3 linked regions of the Danio rerio genome follow. The main gene of each other region encodes a partner of the protein of the gene in region 2 in a complex. Links are inferred from orthologs where the notes say so. Each region holds a gene or a part of one and is shown on either strand. Other genes may lie near its edges.

Region 1 (3,657 bases), on a different chromosome or scaffold from region 2:
GCAGTAAATGACAGCGCTGACTTGCTTTTGTTGCTGCCAAACAATACTCAAAGCAGTGAAAAGATCACCAATGCACGGATCAGCACTTTTCATACCTGTTCGAGTAAAACAGAACGTCTATGAGGGTGGTTGCGATTGCTGGCAGAGTGTCCGGATCCAAACTCATTACGCAAAAATGATTCTCCGGGATCAACACTGGATGAACAGTTGCATGTGGAACTGAATGAACACAAAGACAAACTAGATTTAATATTCACGTTGGAATACTAGCATTTGTTAAGTGTACAAGCTGTTATTAAACCAAGCTGGGGGCAATGAATAGGTGCTTTAGTGCCATGTAGTTACAGGAATTAATAGGAACCATCAGGGCTGGACTGGGACAGAGCGGGCCACTACATTCAATCAAAATGGTCCCTATCTGTACACGCCCTTGAATATGTTTACCAACTCCCATTCTAGAAAAGCACAAAAGCCATATATAGGAAATAGTGAAAGTTGACAAATTAAATGCTTAAAAAATTTTATTTATTATTATAATAAAATTATAATCCACACTGGAAGTCCGTCTTGTGTGCGCCTGTGTGTTTTGAGGGAGCCTACATTAAATAATGAACATAACAAAAACTGCCTGCTGATGCACACAGTTAATGTTGATTACCAAAATAAAGATAAATAATAAAAGCAGTGTCAGACAGAGACCCTTAAAACATATTTAACTCAACAATAAAACATCAAACATAGTTTAAAGACGGTAGTCAATCAAATAAACTTCTTTAAAAAAATGCAACAAATATTTGTTTGGGCCCGAACTACATAACTAAATGTAAACAATAGTACTAGTTTTGCTTAAGTTGCACACTAGTTTTATCATATGTAAATATCATTATAACCATTTTGTATAAATGTTATTGTAACTATAAACCTACATCATGCTTACGATCAAAAACAAAATGTCATGATATCTCATCATCATGCGAATGTCAATAAAGAAAAGAACCAATGGGCTGCAGATTATGTCACATGGGCCGGTCTGTTTGGAATAAGAAACATCTTACTTTTAGATCGTCACAGCATCGCCAATCAATTAGGCAGAAATAAACGTCAGTCTGCTAAGTGTTTTATGGGCCTATGAGATCATAACAAGATGATCAGCCCGGCCCAAAAAGTACGTCGGCTCAGCGGGAAACTGCCCGGTATGCCAGATGGCCAGTTCGCCTCTGGGAACCATCCACCAGTTCTCAAAAAACTTCACCTATTTATCCCTGGCCAACAGCGAATGCTACATTTTTGGGTTCGCTCACTCAAAAATGAAAATGATGTTATTAATTAATCATTAATTACTGCATTCATTCATCTTGAGATTGAAACAACAGATACAGTAAATCTGAGTGCTCTCATGCTCTGTAGACAGAGACGGTTCAGAGGCTTTTTTTTTTTTTTTTTTTTGAGTTAGCTTTTGCAAAACTTATCCAAGCCTGAACAAAAATGCCTTGGCAAAATTTCATGACTTTTCCAGGTTTTTCAGGGCCGTATGAACACTGAATATATATTTTATCCATTTCTCACTGTGGTGAGGGGGCGTGGCCGAGAGCCGTGGGAACGGAGTGAGGCCACCGCGTAAGTGGATACACCTGCGGTGCGCACCTGCCTCGAATCCCACGGAAGGAGCTCTGGACCATAAAAGGAGGAATGATGGCAGAGGAAGCCGAGAGAGGACCGGGCCCGGGCATATTGTTTTACTTTTGCTTTCAGTTTGACGGCAGTCTCCGTAAGGATTTGCCATCCGTTTGTTTTGGTTTAGACGGCAGTCTCCTGCGTCGGTTCTCCGCCTCCTTCTTCCCGGCGGCAAAAGGGCCGTAAACTTCATTACACTCACCCTCTCTGCCGTTCCTCTGCAGACCATTGCAGGAGTCCTGACTGTGAACAGGCACTGATTCTCCTCCCTCCTCTCGGAAAATATTAAACTCTTCCACCAGAGTCTCCACCACCACAGACAGGTCTTTCTCTCGCACCTACAACACAGACATTTCAGTGTGTTAATAAAATACCATTATCATGCTCACACTTTAGTTTAAGATACATTCACATTAACAAACCATTAACTAAGATTTTTAGCTCAGAAACACTCTGATTTGCTGCATATCAATAGTTAGTAAGGTTGAAGTTGTGTTTAGTTATTGGATATGATTAAGGATGTAGAAACAGATCAGTATAAGTACTAATAAACAGCCAATATCTTATTAATAGATACATAATAAGTGAGGGTATTAGTGACAATCTGTACTTAATCTAAAAATGGTGGTAACACTTTAGTTTAAAGGTGCAGTAGGTGATTGTCTTCAGAAACATTATTTGTTGTGCTGGTTTGAAAGTCTCTTCACATTTCAATTGTAATGATTAAAGTTAATGATCTAAAAGTATTTATAAGGGTTTCTGCAGATATCATAATGTCAAATTTAAAACTTTTAAAGACCTTTTCAAGACCATTAAGTATAACATTTATGATCTATATCACAACATCAAAAACACGCACACACATAAAGAGAAATGCAAAAATCACAAAACTAGTGGTAAAATAAATGTATTCAAATTGAACAGTACTAAAGACAGGTTAGATGCATCATTGAACTACAGGAAAATACAAACAAACATCTTAAGGCTGATTTATACTTTCACCAGGCACCACATCACGCAACTTCACTGACTGCGCTTAAAAGGACGAGGCTCTTTAAAACGACAGAGCCGGTCAAAAGAAAACCATGGTAAAGTCAGACAGATAAACAGAGAAGTAAGAAGTTTCCGGAACTATACTTCACATCATTAATATTGTTCAAGATTCTTAAATTAATTTTTTTTCATTATTTTTTATTCATTATTACATTTATTATTTCTTTATTTATTATAATTTTTAAAATCAAAATTTGATTTTAAATTTGAATTTTATTTGATCACTTGCTTTTGTTCATATCTTGGACAGTTTTACCTGTTAAAGTTAAATATTATTGACTACAGAACTTGAGTTGCTCTACAAGTATAAATTTTTATTATGGAAAGAATAAAAGCAACAAAAAAAAGTACACTTTCTAAAAAATACTGATGTTTTATTTTATTTTATTTTGTCCACTCAAGTCACACATTACTGTCTGGTTAGTTTCTGTTGTATACTTATAAGCTAAAAAGGCAATAATGATCCAACATTCCAGACCATTATCACCAATAAAGCCTAGTAAAACAAGGCATCAGTATATTGTAAACCGAAAAATTCTAATATTCTATTCCAGTTATCAAAGAAATAATTCGTTTTTTTAATTATAGTTTTGTAACTATTACTTTTTTTAAATCAAAACTTTAATATATACACCAGTGTAAAACCTATAAATGGTTTAAAAACATATTCTATAATTGTGTACCTGGGTCTAAACTTTTGCCATGACCTCTTTTGGCTTTAAAAAACTCATCCCTTAGGTTTTTCTTAACTTTAACAAAAACTTACTTCCTTTCCCACAGCGGTTGCAGTTTTGTCTGTACAGTCGTACCCATTTGAGACATTTTCATCTCAAATCAAATGCGGCGCCACGTGAACTAGGCTCTATTCTCTATTCTGTGTGCGCCGCCAGCCGCACATCACATCACACATGACATCACATTCGACACACG
Region 2 (3,657 bases):
TATGCTTTTTTTATTCATGAAAGCTTTTAAATTTAATTACATTCTGTATCATAATATTATTAAAATTTTTAAAAATATATAAAAATGACAAAAAAACTAATATTTAAAAATGCTTTTAAATACAATTAACGACTATTACTGCAGTTATGTAATACTATTAATGCTTTTCTATCTACTAAACACTATTCTGCAGTATTACAGTAAAAAAAAAGATTTTTTGTGCATTACATTAATGACAACTGTGCAGAGCAATGTGCTAAAAATGGGAAAAATGTATTTGAGTTATGGTATGTTTTATATGTTTAATATATATATATATATATATATAGCTGATTCTAGCGTTATGGATGTGACATTTGCAGTAAAAATTCAAAACATAAATTCGCAGAGAAAGTATACGTTAACATTATATTGAATCATCTGTTTATATTTTCCAAAACAACTAACCACAGAGTTATGGAATCAAAAAATTTAAATCTGTGAACATTTTTATACTTTAAATTAGGAAAATAAACATGCGTTATGGATGTGACAAAAAAAAAGTCCCTGAGTTTACAGTATACAACATACTTTGTAGAAATTCTGTGAATTAAACTGCACAACCCAAAATAAATAATGCTCATCAAAAGTATAAGAGTTGGCTCGTTATAGAACAAAAATGATTGATTTTATTTTATTTTGACATTTTTGCATTTTTGAGGGAAAAGCTTTGTTATGGATGGGACACTTTTTCGTTAGGGATGTGACGGATGTGAAATTGCCATTTGTTTGACTTTGGTAAATCAAATATAATAGTTTGAAAACATTGACAGAGACATTTTTAAGTATTTTTAAAGTACTGTAAAACACTTGCCTACACAAAAAAGCGTAGAAACGGTTTCGCTAATTTAATGAAAACATTTTTCTTTTCATGACAAGGTTGACATTTTCATGGAATTGCTCATATATATATATATATATATATATATATATATATATATATATATATATATATATATATATATATATATATATAAATAAAAAGATGCAATGATGATATATATAAATAAAAAGATGCAATGATGATTTGTATATGTGTATTAATCTTTCGAAGCGCTGCATTCAAATCTGTGTTTGATTGAGAGAGATTCAGTTTTTACACTTTTTTAGTTAGTTACAAACAAATAACTAATACAGAAGTACTGGAAGATCAGTTTATAGTTCAGTTATACACACTGATGTTTATGGTAAAGATTAAAATCACTGTTGTAACTGGACGCTGGTGAATGTTGTAGCAATTACATTGTGTAACCAATGGGTGGCGGCAAACAGCCATCAAATTTATGTCACTAAACAGATTTCAAAAATGATCCACCTAAAATGTTTTAAGTGTGAATTGTTGAATTATGAGTTTAAAATAAATTTGATATGTTGTACAAGATGTTAGATTGCTATATTTAGTATTATCAGCAACAGTAGCAAAGATGTACGTTCCTGTAAGAAAACATTGCAAATAATTGGAAATCCGGCGACAGCAATCATCAAACACTTGGGAACAACTGTGGCCGAAACCAAAGTTTACAGTGACTGTGATTTCTCTGGACTCTTCTCAATCGGTGGACTTCTACATTCTGATTGATTCCCGCTGAACCAAGTCATAGCTCATTACCATAAAGATTACTTGATTTCAATTCTCCTCGGCGCACCGTGGTGCTCCTCGCCGCATATCGCCACCGGCTCCTCTTGAAAATGAATGACTTCCAGCTACTTTGACGCTCTCACGCCTTTTGGTGTGAACGTACAGCAAGACTGACATGCCTTGTGTATTCTATAGTCTTTGTTAAAGCCGACCAGTCAAATTGTCGGTGCAACCGCTAATATTTACATGCTTTATTTTGCTTCTCTTTACCATATGGGCATTATTTGTTGGTTTGTTTTAATTGTAATTAATAGTTTAAATTCTTTTAAAAAATGCTATTAAGAATAGACAAAAAGAGAAATTTTCTCTTAAAATTCCTCCTTTTTCTGTTGATTGATTCTGTTGTTGATGTGACAGTGACAGTCCTGTTACCTTTCTCTGAGGAAGCTCCTTTATTCAGGATCTGAATGGCCCGCCGGATGTCCAGGTTAAAGAGGGCGACGGCAGCAGCTCGTTCCCACTCGCCCTCCTGCTCCAGAGACTTCAGGAAGGGTTCAACATCGGTGTCGGGCCCTTGACTGATCCAGCCACACAACTGGAGGGCCAGACTGCGCTCCTCACTGTGGAACCGTGGGACGTCCGTCTGCCTGTCTGAACCTGACCAGCACCGCCGTGTCTCTGTAGTGCCTGAGGAACCAATCGTTATTTCTTTATTCATTCATTACGATCAACATCAAGATCTCAGAATATATCACAATAGGTAGTGAGTGAACAAAAAGTTTTACACCTTTTTCTTTCACCCCAAGATGCTTTTCTGTGAATATGAAAGTCAATTTTCGTAATCTACAGTACTGTACAAAATAGGGCTGCACACATTGGAAAAAAACTGATATTGCGATATTTATTTTCTGCGATAAATATTGCAATATGAATACAGTTTCACAAGACGGTTGTAGCTTTTAATTACAATGCAAAAAAAATGCTTTTCTTATTTTTCTTTGTCTCGTTTCTAGTCCAAAAATTCTTAGATCAAGTAAAAATATTGTTTTGTTTTAAAAGTCATATGAAATAAGGCAAAATTAAGAGGTTTTCCTTAAAATAAGCTAAATTATCTGCCATGGGGTATGTAAAATAATCTTGTTTTCACTTTGAAATGTAGATAATTAATTTAGAAAAAGTCAAAAATTATAAGTAAGAAAAAAAAATTATTTTCCCAAATCATATAATTGTCATATAAATACAGTAATTAAAAACAATTGTGTAGCTCCTGTTTAATTATAATTTAGACTCAACATATATCTTTGCGATGTGACTATTGCGGATGCGCACATTGCGATATCGATGCTGAAACAATATATTGTGCAGCCCAAATGCAAAAGTCTTAGGCTACTAGTATTTTCACAAGAAAAGGTTTTATTTCAGGTATTTCTATTTTTCTGTAGTCAGTTGCTATTTTTTTCATGTCAGTTTGAAATATCAATTAACATTTCCAAACTTTATTCTTGTCATAATTTGTAATTCTACAGTGAGAGTATTGTCTGATCATCATCAAGGGGTGCTTTTCCCAAACAACGATGTAACTTGCGGCTGAACTATCATAGTGCAATACATTGTTTGTATTGAAAACCCGCAGTTTCTCTGTCGCAGATCCATCATTGGAACCACGTTAGTTTTATCGTAAAATAGCCATAATGATGTTTTAAACGGCGTGGAGTAACTACTTCTTTAGAAAAAAAAAACAATTTTGTTTTAGTGTAGTTTTACATGCACATACATTTAAAATAAAATCCAATATTAGTTTTGGTAAACATGCACTCTCTTTCCATATTAATTGAAATATATGTAAACGACAGATCTAGGGCCTGTGTTTCCTTTACAAATATTATTGAGAACATTCCATATTCTATTCTAAAACATAAAATCACTTTAAAAAGATAACACATATTCTAATATCATATATAAATCATATAAATAAATATTGAGGCTATTTATTAAGAAATGAAATTTAATATTTATTATTTATTAGGAAATGAAAAAAT
Region 3 (3,657 bases), on a different chromosome or scaffold from region 2:
GTTACAGTGGTAACTTATACACATTTACATGCTGCATTAAAAGATCACACTTTTAGGGTAATGACTTTATAAAACAGGGGTGGCCAAACTCGTCTAATAAGCTTGTTTTATCCTGCCCCTTTTCGCTCAGCCGCATGACAGAATATCACAAGTAAATTAAACAGGGGGCTAATAATTCAGGGCGGCTAATAATTCTGACTTCACAGGGTTCAACGCTAAGGACATTTTCTACTGGCCCGACTGGACCAGCAGTTCAGATTTTTACTGGCCCTGCCAAAATTTTCACTGGCCCCACCAAAATAAATAAATAAAAAATAGCTATTTTTTTAGCCACATATTTTAAATAATGTGTCAAAAATAATGTCGTTGAATCTAGAATTTAAATATTTTTAAAATGTTAAAATATTTAGCAGTAAAATACAGCAGTATGGAAAATGTGCAGGTATTTTATTGCTAAACAAAAAGTGGCGGACTTAAAAGTGATGGAAAATTATGCAAAACATCACTTCATTTTTTTCGATGTGTTGTACCCATGTAAATATCTTTTTCCACAACGTTGGAAACAGACGTTTTCTTTTAGCCGCATAATTTGATGTTGTCGTCTCTTCACTGTTCTGGTTTTTACCAGGTTGTGAAAAAATTAACGTGCTAACAACAACCAATCAGATAAAAGGAACCAAAAAGCAATATGGGGTTCACGACTTTACAGAAAACGTAGCATTCTGAGACTTAAAAGCACAAATTGTTTCTCAGTTCTAAGACTGTATTTGCATACAATTGACAGTAGCAGGCAAATAAAAATTTGATGACAAGGCAGCACTGGCCTGATCGGGCCAGTAACGATTCTCTTTACTGTCCCGAACATCTCTCATGCTGGCCCCGGGCCATCGGGCAGTCCTTATTGTTGAGCCCTGCTTCAACTTTGTATGTCTATAGGTGGGCCCACACAGTTTGCGCTACGCCACTGTTTTTTGTTGGACTTCCCACAAGTTTCAATGGAAATAAAACATTTATTCTATTCTACTGTATTCCATTTCAGAAATCGAACACTGCAGTCGAGTACGTCGCTGCCCACCTGTCAAAGATTAACGGTCTGGACTGGCACCCTGATAATGAGTACATCCTGGCTACTTCAAGTCAGGACAACTCTGTTCGGGTGAGTATAATCATAATTATTGATCATATTCTTAAATAGTTTTAGCTGCAGTTTTGCTGATTCTGTTTTTATACTGATTTATCTCAAAAGTTCTGGGATTACAGACAACCCCGGAAGTACCTTGATATCTTATCCTGTCAGGTGCCTGTGTGGAAGGCCAGATACACGGTAAAGTTTAAATATGCAGTTTAAATATATATTTTTCTTGATATTTTCATTTTAAATACTTTGTTTGTTTCTGTTGTGATGATCTCTATCAGGCAAATGTTTAAAATGATTACGTATTTTTGTTTTAGTCTCAAAAATACAATAAAAACAATATGGAAAAATGGGTGGCACATTGGCTCAGTAGTTAGCAGTCGCCTTACAGCAAAAAGGTCGCTGGTTCGAGTCCTGGCTAGGCCAGTTGGCTTTTCTGTGTGGAGTTTGCATGTTCTCCCCATGTTGGTGTGGGTGCTCTAGTTTCCCCCACAGTCCAAACACGCTCTATAGGTGAATTGAATAAGCTAAATTGACTAGTGTATGAGTGTGTATGGGTGTTTTCCAGTACTGGGTTGCAGCTGGAAGGGCATCCGCTGTGTAGCTTATCCAGTCCTTCCAGCCGCAACCTAGTACTAGGAAACACTTATACACACTCACATTCACACACACACACTATGGTCAAATTAGTTAATCCAATTCACCTTTACCACATATCTTTTGAAATGTGGGGAACACCCGGAGGAAACCAGGGAGAACATGCAAACTCAACACAGAAATGCCAACTGGCCTGGCTGCCACTGGAACAAGCAACCTTCTTGCTGTGAGGTGACAGTGCTAACCACTAAATCACCGTGCTGCTCATTAGTGAATTTTTAAAGTTTATATTTTTATTTGTATTTACGCTGTTAATATAAGAGATGGAAAAATGAAAATTAGTAATTCAAATAATGGAGAATCTGCATGTTGTAAAGTACTCACTGCATCCTCTCCTTTTCTTCTGTCTAGCCTTTCTCAAATGGGCTGGTTACAGTGATGGTTCCTCAGCTTCGGCGTGAGAACAGCCTCCTCCTGTGGAGCACACTGGAGCTGAACAGCCCTGTTCATGCGTTTGTGGGCCATGACGATGTTGTGTATGAGTTTCAGTGGAGGCCGCAGAAAGAAGGTGAGCAGAGCTGGCAGTCGAAGGAAATTAAGGAATGTTATTTACCACAAAATCCCCAGATTGATTTTGTGTTTGAATTGACAATTATTAGTCTGAACCCTTGTCATCAAAACCAAAACTGCCTCTTCTCTCCTCCCACCACATCACATGACAACCTCAAAACGTTATGCATTTATGAAATGCGCTTTACACAAGTGAGTGGGCTTGACAAACCACCAGTAGAAACACTTTTCTCTCTCTAAAAAAACACTAAAAAAAATAAAGAAACTATGAACAACTGATCTGTAAAGTGTGAGTTAATATATTAGTTAAGTGTTAGTTATCAGTTTATGTATGTTATTGGGACGTTATTCTAAAGATGCAACTATTCCTCATTTACTTACAGTTAATAAATAAAGAATAGTTGCAACTTTAGAATAACGCCCTATAACATATATACACTAATAACTGATACTGAACAAGTCTTTAGTAAGTAATTTACTAACAGCTTGTTTATGATCTATTACTTATTAATTAGGTATAGTTATAACATTAAAAAACTGTTACAAAGTCATTTAAAGCTTGTTAACTAACAGCTTGTAAGTTATATATTGGCTATTTATAAGGCACAGTTATAAATAATTAACAAACTATTGACTTATATAACAAGTCATTTATAACTCACTAACTAACAGTTTATTAATGGACTATTAACTAGTTATAACGAAATAGTTATACTAAATTGTTACCGTGAATTTTTGACTAAATTGACTACATCACATCTGTGTGTGAATGTGTATGGGTGTTTCCCAGTACTGGGTTGCAGCTGGAATGGTATCCACTGCGTAAAACATCTGCTGGAATAGTTGGTGGTTCATTCCACTGTGGCAACTCCTAATAAGTAGTGGACTGAGCCGAAGGAAAATTAATAAACCAATATTTTGTGTCTGTGACCATAGAACTGGAGAGTTTTTAATAAATCATGCATACCAACTTTAACTATAATTTTTTTTCTGCTGTCCGTCTTTTGTGCATAAGCTGTATCTGCCTCAAAACAATGATCAATAATTGATGTCCATGTGCTATAATCAATCCTTAATAAAGTTTAGCAATTACTCAATAGTCAATTAATTGCTTTCATCTATAATGGAGATAATTCTGGCAATAAATGCTTCATTTTCACTTTCATAGCAAAAATATAATTGTATTTGTGCACTGTTCATATATATCTTAGGGTCCAAAGACTGCCAGCTGGTCACGTTGTCCAGAGATCAAACCCTGAGAATATGGAGAGTTGATCCTCAGCTCCAGAAGGTGATGCTTGGGAATGGATTTTTGTTTCTATACAGCTGGAGATGTTATGTTAGAGACTGACTGA

Evidence for each region.
Region 1: the proteins of mios (region 2) and castor1 are in contact, whole or in part, in a cryo-EM structure (PDB 9LVK), measured with the Homo sapiens proteins. The link is inferred for Danio rerio from reciprocal best matches to the Homo sapiens genes MIOS and CASTOR1. Residues at the interface, in NP_001357005.1 of Homo sapiens: Ala83, Asn84, Val109, Pro110, Lys111, His112, Ala113, Arg114, Asp134, Lys135, His136, Arg137, Asn184; in NP_001032755.1 of Homo sapiens: Val94, Ser116, Thr117, Tyr118, Gln119, Thr120, Asp121, Thr188, Tyr236, Leu255, Thr256, Ser257, Ser258, Ala295, Tyr296.
Region 3: the proteins of mios (region 2) and wdr59 are in contact, whole or in part, in a cryo-EM structure (PDB 7UHY), measured with the Homo sapiens proteins. The link is inferred for Danio rerio from reciprocal best matches to the Homo sapiens genes MIOS and WDR59. Residues at the interface, in NP_001357005.1 of Homo sapiens: Asp705, Trp710, His711, Arg713, Ala714, Ile718, Ser721, Lys728, Pro729, Leu730, Ala731, Gln732, Val733, Phe734, Val735, Ser736, Cys737, Asn738, Phe739, Ile744, Lys780, Pro781, Leu782, Pro783, Leu787, Cys788, Leu789, Gly793, Pro795, Gln819; in NP_085058.3 of Homo sapiens: Tyr871, Arg876, Glu877, Arg879, Ala880, Glu881, Leu883, Lys884, Pro889, Pro890, His893, Lys894, Gly895, Ile896, Glu897, Phe898, Gly899, Val900, Tyr901, Arg906, Glu908, Val909, Arg910, Thr912, Phe922, Gln923, Ala925, Ile926, Cys927, His928.

Annotation. Positions count from the first base shown.
Region 1 is NC_133180.1:12,722,575-12,726,231, forward strand, and holds part of castor1 (cytosolic arginine sensor for mTORC1 subunit 1), read right to left. Parts: intron 2,013-3,657; coding exon 1,877-2,012; intron 220-1,876; coding exon 96-219; intron 1-95. UniProt on the Homo sapiens protein: Functions as an intracellular arginine sensor within the amino acid-sensing branch of the TORC1 signaling pathway. As a homodimer or a heterodimer with CASTOR2, binds and inhibits the GATOR subcomplex GATOR2 and thereby mTORC1.
Region 2 is NC_133191.1:51,769,383-51,773,039, forward strand, and holds part of mios (GATOR2 complex protein MIOS), read right to left. Parts: intron 2,306-3,657; coding exon 2,051-2,305; intron 1-2,050. UniProt on the Homo sapiens protein: As a component of the GATOR2 complex, functions as an activator of the amino acid-sensing branch of the mTORC1 signaling pathway. The GATOR2 complex indirectly activates mTORC1 through the inhibition of the GATOR1 subcomplex.
Region 3 is NC_133193.1:7,039,707-7,043,363, forward strand, and holds part of wdr59 (GATOR2 complex protein WDR59), read left to right. Parts: intron 1-1,039; coding exon 1,040-1,156; intron 1,157-1,246; coding exon 1,247-1,324; intron 1,325-2,143; coding exon 2,144-2,300; intron 2,301-3,513; coding exon 3,514-3,593; intron 3,594-3,657. UniProt on the Homo sapiens protein: As a component of the GATOR2 complex, functions as an activator of the amino acid-sensing branch of the mTORC1 signaling pathway. The GATOR2 complex indirectly activates mTORC1 through the inhibition of the GATOR1 subcomplex.